Arabidopsis thaliana: one gene and its partner. The protein of the gene in region 1 interacts with the protein of each later gene in a biochemical or structural test. Each region holds a gene or a part of one and is shown on either strand. Other genes may lie near its edges.

The links. Proteins that work in one complex are often made in the same cells at the same time.
Region 2: the proteins of TCH3 (region 1) and PID form a complex in vitro, tested with the Arabidopsis thaliana proteins (one study listed by BioGRID).

Annotation. Positions count from the first base shown.
Region 1 is NC_003071.7:17,136,008-17,140,107, reverse strand, and holds TCH3 (Calcium-binding EF hand family protein), read right to left. Parts: upstream 2,280-4,100; 5' UTR 2,219-2,279; exon of another isoform or gene 1,993-2,218; 5' UTR 1,978-1,992; coding exon 1,902-1,977; exon of another isoform or gene 1,802-1,901; coding exon 1,535-1,801; exon of another isoform or gene 1,435-1,534; coding exon 1,165-1,434; coding exon of another isoform or gene 1,103-1,164; intron 1,064-1,102; coding exon 702-1,063; 3' UTR 501-701; downstream 1-500. Other genes in the region: AT2G41105 (uncharacterized protein), read left to right, coding at 949-1,053, 1,103-1,177, 1,622-1,657; AT2G41090 (Calcium-binding EF-hand family protein), read right to left, coding at 3,490-3,628, 3,746-4,100. UniProt on the Arabidopsis thaliana protein: Potential calcium sensor that binds calcium in vitro.
Region 2 is NC_003071.7:14,589,177-14,594,006, forward strand, and holds PID (Protein kinase superfamily protein), read right to left. Parts: upstream 2,965-4,830; 5' UTR 2,382-2,964; coding exon 1,834-2,381; intron 1,527-1,833; coding exon 758-1,526; 3' UTR 560-757; downstream 1-559. UniProt on the Arabidopsis thaliana protein: Serine/threonine-protein kinase involved in the regulation of auxin signaling. Acts as a positive regulator of cellular auxin efflux and regulates organ development by enhancing polar auxin transport.

The DNA of each region.
Region 1 (4,100 bases):
TCCAGTGAGTCGCCTCCTTTGATTTTCCTTGGTTCGTTGGTTTCTGGTTCCAATTCGTTAGTATTTGTTTTCTCGTTATTGTTAAATGCTGTCTTTTTTAAAAAAAAACATTTATTAGAATTATCAATTGTGAAGTATTCGTTTGGATGGTAAGTGGAGCTGTCGCTACATTTGTCTAAATTATTAAAGATTTTGCTTTTAACTACTACTTTTTAATACTACATTGTCTGTAACATTATATGTTTTTTGGAAGTGCATCGAACGTCCTTGTTTCTGCAATAACAATCACAAAGCAAAAATTTGCATCGGATAAAAACAAATCGAAGAAATACATGCTTATGACAATTGATTAACATGGTAAGATATGAGGCTTAGCTGATTTGATCACTGTATGTGCCAGATCATTAACCGATTTATCATATTAGATCAATTTTTAGTAGTGAGCTACCAGTTTTCAATGATTAGTTCTGCTACGTTTCAATGTTTTTCTCAAAAGATACATTAATACCCCAATTATATTCGATACTGAAACCATATTACAAACTCATTTTAATAAATTGCACACAACTGAAGATGGTAACACACTAACACATGCAATAAATTTATTACATAGAAATTATTGTCATTAGATGAAACGCCTTTTGAGAGAGATCTAACATAATTGTCAGACCCTATTGGCATAAAGTTACTGACGTGTCATTTCAAGATAACAGCGCTTCGAACAAATCTTTAAACCTATCTTTCATGAAGTCGGAAATTGGCGAAGCGATGATATTGCTGGCAACCCCGACCGCTATGTCCCTCTCCCAATTGGTGCCACCAGCTCTGTCATTTCTAGTGTGACGCTGCACTTGACCCTGACCTTGATTCACAACTCTGTACGTTTCTTTCTTAGACTGAGTGTCAATCATTTTACCAGTCATTACACACACAAACTCAGAGAAACTGATGGTTCCGTCACCATCTGCATCCGCTTCGTTGATCATGTCCTGGAGCTCAGCTTTTGTTTGGGTTTCACCAAGGGAGCGCATAGTAGTACGGAGCTCATTCACGGTAATGTAACCTACAAAAAGTAAGCAATGACTTATGTTAGTCATTTCAGTGCTTTGAAGATGATCAGGATCCAATATGTACGATTAGCGAGAAAGGGACGATGAACCATACCATCACCATTCTTGTCGAATACGCGGAAGGCTTCCCTGAATTCTAAGATCTGATCGTCAGTGAGCTGATAATCCACCATTGTTTTTTTAGTGTGACGCGGCGCTTGATCATGACCTTGATTCTTAGCCATTAGGTACAAGAACTCAGGGAAATCGATGGTTCCATCACCATCTAAATCCACTTCGTTCATCATGTCCTGAAGATCAGCTTTTGTCCGGTTTTTACCGAGGGAAAACATCACGGTACGGAGCTCCTTTTTCGTAATGGAACCTACAAAAAGTAATCAAGGACTAGTGTTAGTCATTTCATTGCTTTGAAGATGATCATGATCCAACATTACGATTAAATGGAAAGAGTTGATGAACCATACCATCACCATTCTTGTCGAATAACCTGAAAGATTCCCTGTACTCTGTAATCTGATCGTCAGTGAGCTTATCCGCCATTGTTTTTTTAGTGTGACGCGGCGCTTGATCATGACCTTGATTCTTAGCCATTACGCACAAGAACTCAGGGAAATCGATGGTTCCATCACCATCTAAATCCGCTTCGTTCATCAAGTCCTGAAGATCAGCTTTTGTCGGTTTTTCACCGATTGAACGCATCATGGTACCGAGCTCCTTTTTCGTAATGGAACCTACAAAAAGTAATCAAGGACTTGTGTTAGTCATTTCATTGCTTTGAAGATGATCATGATCCAACATTACGATTAAATGGAAAGAGTTGATGAACCATACCATCACCATTCTTGTCGAATAACCTGAAAGATTCCCTGTATTCTGTAATCTGATCGTCAGTGAGCTTATCCGCCATTGTTTTTTTTGTTTTCTGTGATGACTGAAAGAAGAGTTTGTGAGACAATTTGTACTACGAACCAGGACTTGAAGCCTTATATAATAGTACCCGAATTATTTGAAATGACGGCTATATCCTCAAACTTTTCCACGTTCACGCAATTTCTACGCAGGATCGTTGTCTGCCATGTCAGCTTATCCTTTCAAGTGTGAGTCGCCTCCTTTGACTGGCAATTACTTGGTTGGTTCCTTCTTCCAACTTGTTTTTTTTTTTTTTTTTCATTTATTTGAAAGAAACATTTATTTACAATGGAATTTTGGATGGGTGAGTGGACATTTGCCTAATTTATATTTTAGGTTATAGTTTTCTTATACTGACTCCGAAGGAGTGTCCTTATTTATGCAAAACTAAATAAATCATAATAGAGAAAACACTTGCATAAGATAAAAATGAATCGAAGAAATACAAGCGTATGACAATTGATTAGCACATGTTTAGTAAAGTGTTGTTGTTGAAGTTAACGAACGTTACCAATGAAATCTGATCTGAGGGATTCCACAAGTGCATTCTACTTGAGAAAGAGCAGAGAAGTTTCTACATCCTGAATATTCCTGATTTAACATCTCTGCTGTGGAAGGAATTCGCAAGACAAGTGTGTGGAAGGTTAGAAGAAACTACACAAACGACCAAAAACATGGTACATAAGAAATAACGAGAAAGACCACAGAAGTTTCTACCTTGCGGGGATGGCTTGAGCAAGTAAAGTTGACAGAAAACCACTTCCTGTGCCCGACTCAAGAATCACGGGCAGGGGCAATCTCAAGGTAGACTAGAAAGCTACTACTACCCGCCGCAATGTAAAGAATCTGAGTCTTGTGACCTGTTTCCATATGACCCAACATGCCACATGTACTGCATACAAATTTACCCTTGTTGCTTTGGATTTTGGGCCAGCGAAATTACACGGGTACAAAATAAGAAAAGCCCATATCGAAGACATGTTATCCAAGTTTTCTGATATTGAACATGCAGTAATTTTCCACACATTGTAGTCCAAATGGGTCAAAGGGCGTCCTTTGTTTTGCTCAAAACACTTGGGTTATCGAAATTGTAGACGTGTGTTTTCAATGTTGCAGGGCAGGTTGGTGCGAGGCATGTCATTATTCATTAGATGAGTCCTTATAAGAGTCTTGAAGAACTCTGGGACGGTGAGATATGAGGCTTAGCTGATTTGATCACTGTATGTGCCAAATCATTAACCGATTTAGATCAATTTTTAGTAATGCTACCAGTTTTCAATAATTAGTTCTGCTACGTTTTAAATGTTTTTCTCAAAAGATACATTGATACCCCAATTATATTCGATACTGAAACCATATTACAAACTCATTTTAATAAATTGCATGCAAGAAAAGATGGTAACACAATAAATTTATTACATAGAAATTATTTTCAAAGATCAAACGCCTTTTTAGAGAGATCTAACATACCAGCCAGACCCTAATGGCATAAAGTTACTGATGTACCATTTCAAGAAAACAACGCTTCGAACAAATTTTTGATGAAGTCGGTCATTGGCGCTGCGATGATATTTTTGGCAACCCCGGCCGCCAAGTCCCTCTCCAAAGTGCCACCAGTTGTGTCATATTTAGTATCATGACCTTGATTCCTAGCCATACACACAAGAACTCAGAATGAAATTTAAGAACAAGAGAGGAACATTCTTTATGAAATTAGATAAGAGGTAGTAAAAAAAGGGGAAGCGGAAAAGTTGTTTAAATCTCACTTGGCCATCATAAGCCTGGCAAACTCTCTGTAGTTGATCTGACCATCACCATCAACATCAGCTGCCTTGATAATCTCATCGATTTCTTCATCAGTTTGCTTCCACCGGAGGATAGTCCTCACATATCTCATTTCAGCAGCTGAGATGAAACCATTCTTGTCTATGTCAAAGAGTCTGAAATCTTTCTTGAGGTCTTTCTCAGAGTAAGTGTCCTTAGCCATTGCGCACAAGAACTCAGTGAAATTGATGGTTCCGTCACCATCTAAATCCGAATCGTTGATCTCCTCCTGAAGCTCAGCTTGGGTCAGGTTTAAACCGAGGGAACGCATCACGGCACCGAACTCCTCTGTGGTAA
Region 2 (4,830 bases), 2.5 Mb from region 1:
GGTCAAGTGAATGTATCTAATTAATGAAATCGATTTAACACATTAAAGAAAATGACACCACTTTATATAAAGCTTAAACGAATTCACTAGAGGAATGCGTTTGATACTCTATATCAAGAAAACAATTTCGTCTTGCCGTCTATAGTTTATTGTTCTCCTTAAGTTGAAATTGAAGAGAACGAATCGAAAGCAGAAGAGAGATCATGCAACTGGTCGGATCCAAAAAGGCAGATTCCTACCCTTATGGATAACGTTTTTTTCTCCCTTTTTTGACATTCTAAAGACTCGTAGAGATTTAACAAAGAGCAAATATGACTTCATGTGTTACAATTGTCAAAAGACGAATCTTCTTTTCTTTTTCTATACCCGTCGAACTACAAAGTCTAGGCGTGACGAGTTTTATTATAAAGTAATTCGTTTTCTTTTCCATTGCGGTGAAAAGTAGTTCATTCAAACCGGTAAGAAATGTTTGACCAAATTTGGTCAACTATATAATGCCTTAACATTAACTATCGTTAGACTGGTAAATAGATGTTCCCAAGTTCCGAAGAGTTGATAATGATAATTATAAAATAGATTAGTTTTAGATTAATCCGTTTGTTGTACAAATTGTATGAAAAGTCACCTAAATTTTTAATTTATAAGTCAGATTAACGAAATTTTAAAAATTAAAGAACGAAAAAAAGGACAGCTTCGAGGGAATATGTACAGCTAAAACAGACTAACACGTGGCCCTAATCTCGACCGTAGAAAACGTTCAAAAGTAATCGAACGCCGCTGGTTTGTTACTACTTCTACCACTAAACGTCGCCGATTTCATCGGCTTCTTGACGACGGAAGAAGGAATCTCCGGCGGAGTAAGCGTACGAATGAGCGCAAAGTTTAGACCTTTGAAAAAAGGATGCACTTTAACCTCCGCCGCACCTCGCCGTGACCCAAGTCTTTTAGTCGGATCTTTGTTAAGCAACCCGGAAATCAAATTCCGCGCATGAAGCTCAAACATAGTCGCCGGCGAATCAGTCGGGAAACTCAACTGTCTTTTCACAATGTTACGGAGAATGACGTCATTAGTCGGCGCAACGAACGGAGTCTTGCCATATATCATCTCGTAGAGAAACACTCCAAAGGCCCACCAGTCAACGGCATTACCATGTGATCCACCTGAAGCAACTTCTGGTGCCACGTATTCATGCGTACCAACGAACGAACCGGACCGGGCAGTAACCGGTTCAGCAACAAAGAGACGGGTTGGTTCTAAAGTCTGAACCTTTTTAGACCGCAAGACTCGTTGGAAAAGTCTAGCGAGACGAGTGAATCGTCGCGGTGAACGGAGTTGTTGATTCTCCGGCGAAGACGAGGAAGATTCAACGGCTGCGATTGAGTCGGAGCATAGAGAGAGGTCAAAGTCAGAGAGCATAATGTGACCGTCGGATCTAACTAAGATATTTTCAGGCTTCAGATCTCTGTAGATGATACCCAACATGTGTAGATATTCTAACGCCACTAGAACTTCGGCGGCATAAAATCTGTAACCAAAAACAAAATAAATACTCATTAGCTAATAAAATCATAATTATTGACGTTTATAAATTGTGATGGGCTGAAAAAGACTCTTTGATAACAATTCAAAGAACTGGAAAAGACCGACATGATAAGAACAGGTCTGTTCTTGCAGAACAAGATAACAAATGTGAACAGAGTCAATGCATGTAACTATAAAATATATATATACATTGATGATGATGAATCTTTTTTCACAATTTTTTTTTTTTGAAAAAAAATCTGACTTTGTCCATAATATTAAATTATTCAATAAAATTTGATATTTTTTACCTGGCGGAAGAGAGGGAGAATCGCCGGTGAGGTTGTCTATGACGGAGAGAGTGTAAATCACCACCGGAGCAATATTCCATAACGATGCAAGAGAAATGTGAGGCTTCAAACTCAGCGTAAAGAGTCGGCAAAAATGGATGGTCAAGCATTTTCAAAATCGTTTTCTCCATCTCTGCTCTATGCATCTTCTTCTTCAACGCAAGAGCTTCTTTATCCACAACTTTCATCGCAAAATACGAGCTCCGGCTCTCTTCTTCGTCTCCGGCTAGACGGCATAAGTAAACTGTTCCGATGTCGCCGGCGCCGATACGACGCATGAGGCGAAAATCTCGGAAGGTTAGGCCTTGTTTTTTTCGTCTTCGGATCTCTGCGTAAGCGAAATCTGAGGATCGGTGAGGTTTGAGAGAAAGGAAGCTTTCTTCTTCGGGGATAGTTGACGGCGGCGCGTCGAATGATAACCGGCTGAAACTGCTGCAACTCTCTGTTCCGCTGCTTATCGGTGAGTTTGTTGTTCCTAAACTCATCTCACCGTCTGATTCTCGTAACATCGCCGGGAAAATCGAAGTTAAATCAAGAAATGGCTAAGAGGATAATTCAAGAAAAAAAATTGGAATCTGAAAACAGAAGACTAATGACAGAGATGAAACAGGACAGGGTGTCTTTGAATGGACATTAGTTTCTGATCTGAAGAGATGAAGATTTAGGGTTTATGATTGAGAAGAAGAAGAAGATTTTCAGAAGTTTGAGAGAGATGGAAGAAGGAGAAGTGTTGGAGTTTTAGAGAGAGGCGAGACAGAGAGAGTTGGTGAGGGGTATTTATGCGTGTAAGGTTATAACAGTAAAAAGACGTTACAGAGACCATTTTTTTTTTTTCTTACTGTGGTTAATTATGTAAGATTGATTGCACTTTTCAACGCGTGAGAGAGGTAAACAGAAAAGTGAAAGAGAGAAAAAGAGGACTTGATGACGTAAGATATATGACACGTGTGAGACGTTGTCACGTGCCTGAAAGTGTAGCAGTAGCTTCTCTTTTTCCCCATTATTTTTTCTTCTTATTTCCTCTAGGCATATTATAGGGGTGCAAAATTACAGATATGGATTACAATTTCGAGACTCTTGTGTCTTTTTTTGGAGAAATATTGGACTAGTGATTCATCTGTGTTAAAAAAGTGATGACTAAATACAGATTTCATGAGGAAAATTTTGAAGATTAATACTCCATAGGTTATGAATACTAACTAATCTCAACATTATATATGGATTAGTTTCTGAAACTTAAACAGTTTTAGTTTGTTGTTTCTGGCTAATTCAAGATGATTGGTAATGTTATATCGTCTTGGTACAAAATGTACTAAAAGATATGTAATTATTCAATGAGCCCGTAAAAAAGGTTATAGGAAGAGATAGTGAAACTATTTTTTTTGTTTAATGATAACATCAATTTTCTAAAGGTTAATCAAAGAGTACTTTTAGACAAAAACTAGTACAGTATGTTCTTTCATTTGTCTTTCTCGTGAGTGAGAGTTGAACTAGAGAACTCATGGTCACGGATATATAATCTTTGAAAACCCCAAAAAAACTAGCTATTGACCAAAACACACTTAATTACTATCAATTCGTACCACTATGTTTGCCATTAAAAAAGTGTACCAGTTTGTGCGGACCCTATATATTTATACCGACTATGAACATACCTAATGATCATTAATAAAGATGATACAAATGCTGGAAGGGACCCAACCTATATACTAGGATGTTGTTGGCTTTCTGTGGCTTCATGTTACGTTACGTTCCAAGCTTTGGATTTGAATCCAAGATATTGTTTTTATGTTAGGTTAGGTTTTGGTTGATTCAATTATTGTCAATTGGAGATCTCCTCTCGCTAATTTTTGTTTTGTTTTAGCTCCACCTCCTATAATGTTTGGGCTACTATAACATATTGTATTATATAATTATACGGGAATGAACCTACTTGTCCTACTCTCATATCATTGTGGATTGACCACTGTGACAACTTTTTTCATCTCCGATTTATCTTTTCCATGAGTTGCTCTAATCCAACCTCTGTTCGCGGTTGGAAAACTGTTTTGTTTATACAGTAAAAGTTTGAGACGTATTCATATAATGTACTCTAGAATACTTATACTAGCCTCAATCTGTGAAATGGCTAGAATAAACGAATCACAACAGTTAGAAGAAGTGTGGTTAACACTTGCAAATGTTGAGTTCAAAATGAATGGAAAATAGAGGGGAAACGTAGCCTAAGTTTCATGCACAATATATAGCTTTAACTTTGTTTCATAAGCCATAAAAAGGACAGACATAAATATGCCCACCGCTTATGATTCATTTGGCGCATATATATCTGCATGGCCCTCTCCTTAGCTAACCTTAGAACACGTTTTTCAAAATTAATGTGTCCCTAGGTTAAGATAAGTGTCCCTAGGTTTAGTTTTAAATTAAAGAATCTGAATCAAACATTAACATATTTGACTGTGACTATATTCAGTTATTCTCTTAAGTATTTTGGAAACTTAAGAGAAAGAAGTTTGGAGAAAAAAGAAGGAAATAAGGAGAAAAATGCATGAGATGTTTGGTGGAAGAGGGACAAAGTCGTAATTGTGCCAGCTAAATTGGCAAAGAGACAAAACAGAACTGACCTCTGGACTTATGGTTAAATAAACCCAGAGAGATATTCCCTTCCTCGTTGGTTCCTAAAGACAATAACTGTTCCCGTTACTTCTGTATCTTCTCAAACTCTCTCTTAGCCAAGTGTTTGGTAACTAGTTTAACTATATCCCAATCTTGTACCAATTACTAAAACTACATCGGAATGACTTACTTCTGTGTCTTGTACGTACTATATATTTCGTGGGGTCCATGTTTTGTACGGACTAGTTCCCACCTTACTCCAATTATTATTTCTCCCTCGAATCTTTTTTTTAACAATAAGCTAAATGATGATTCAATCCGTTTTAGTTTTATAATCGTAACGAT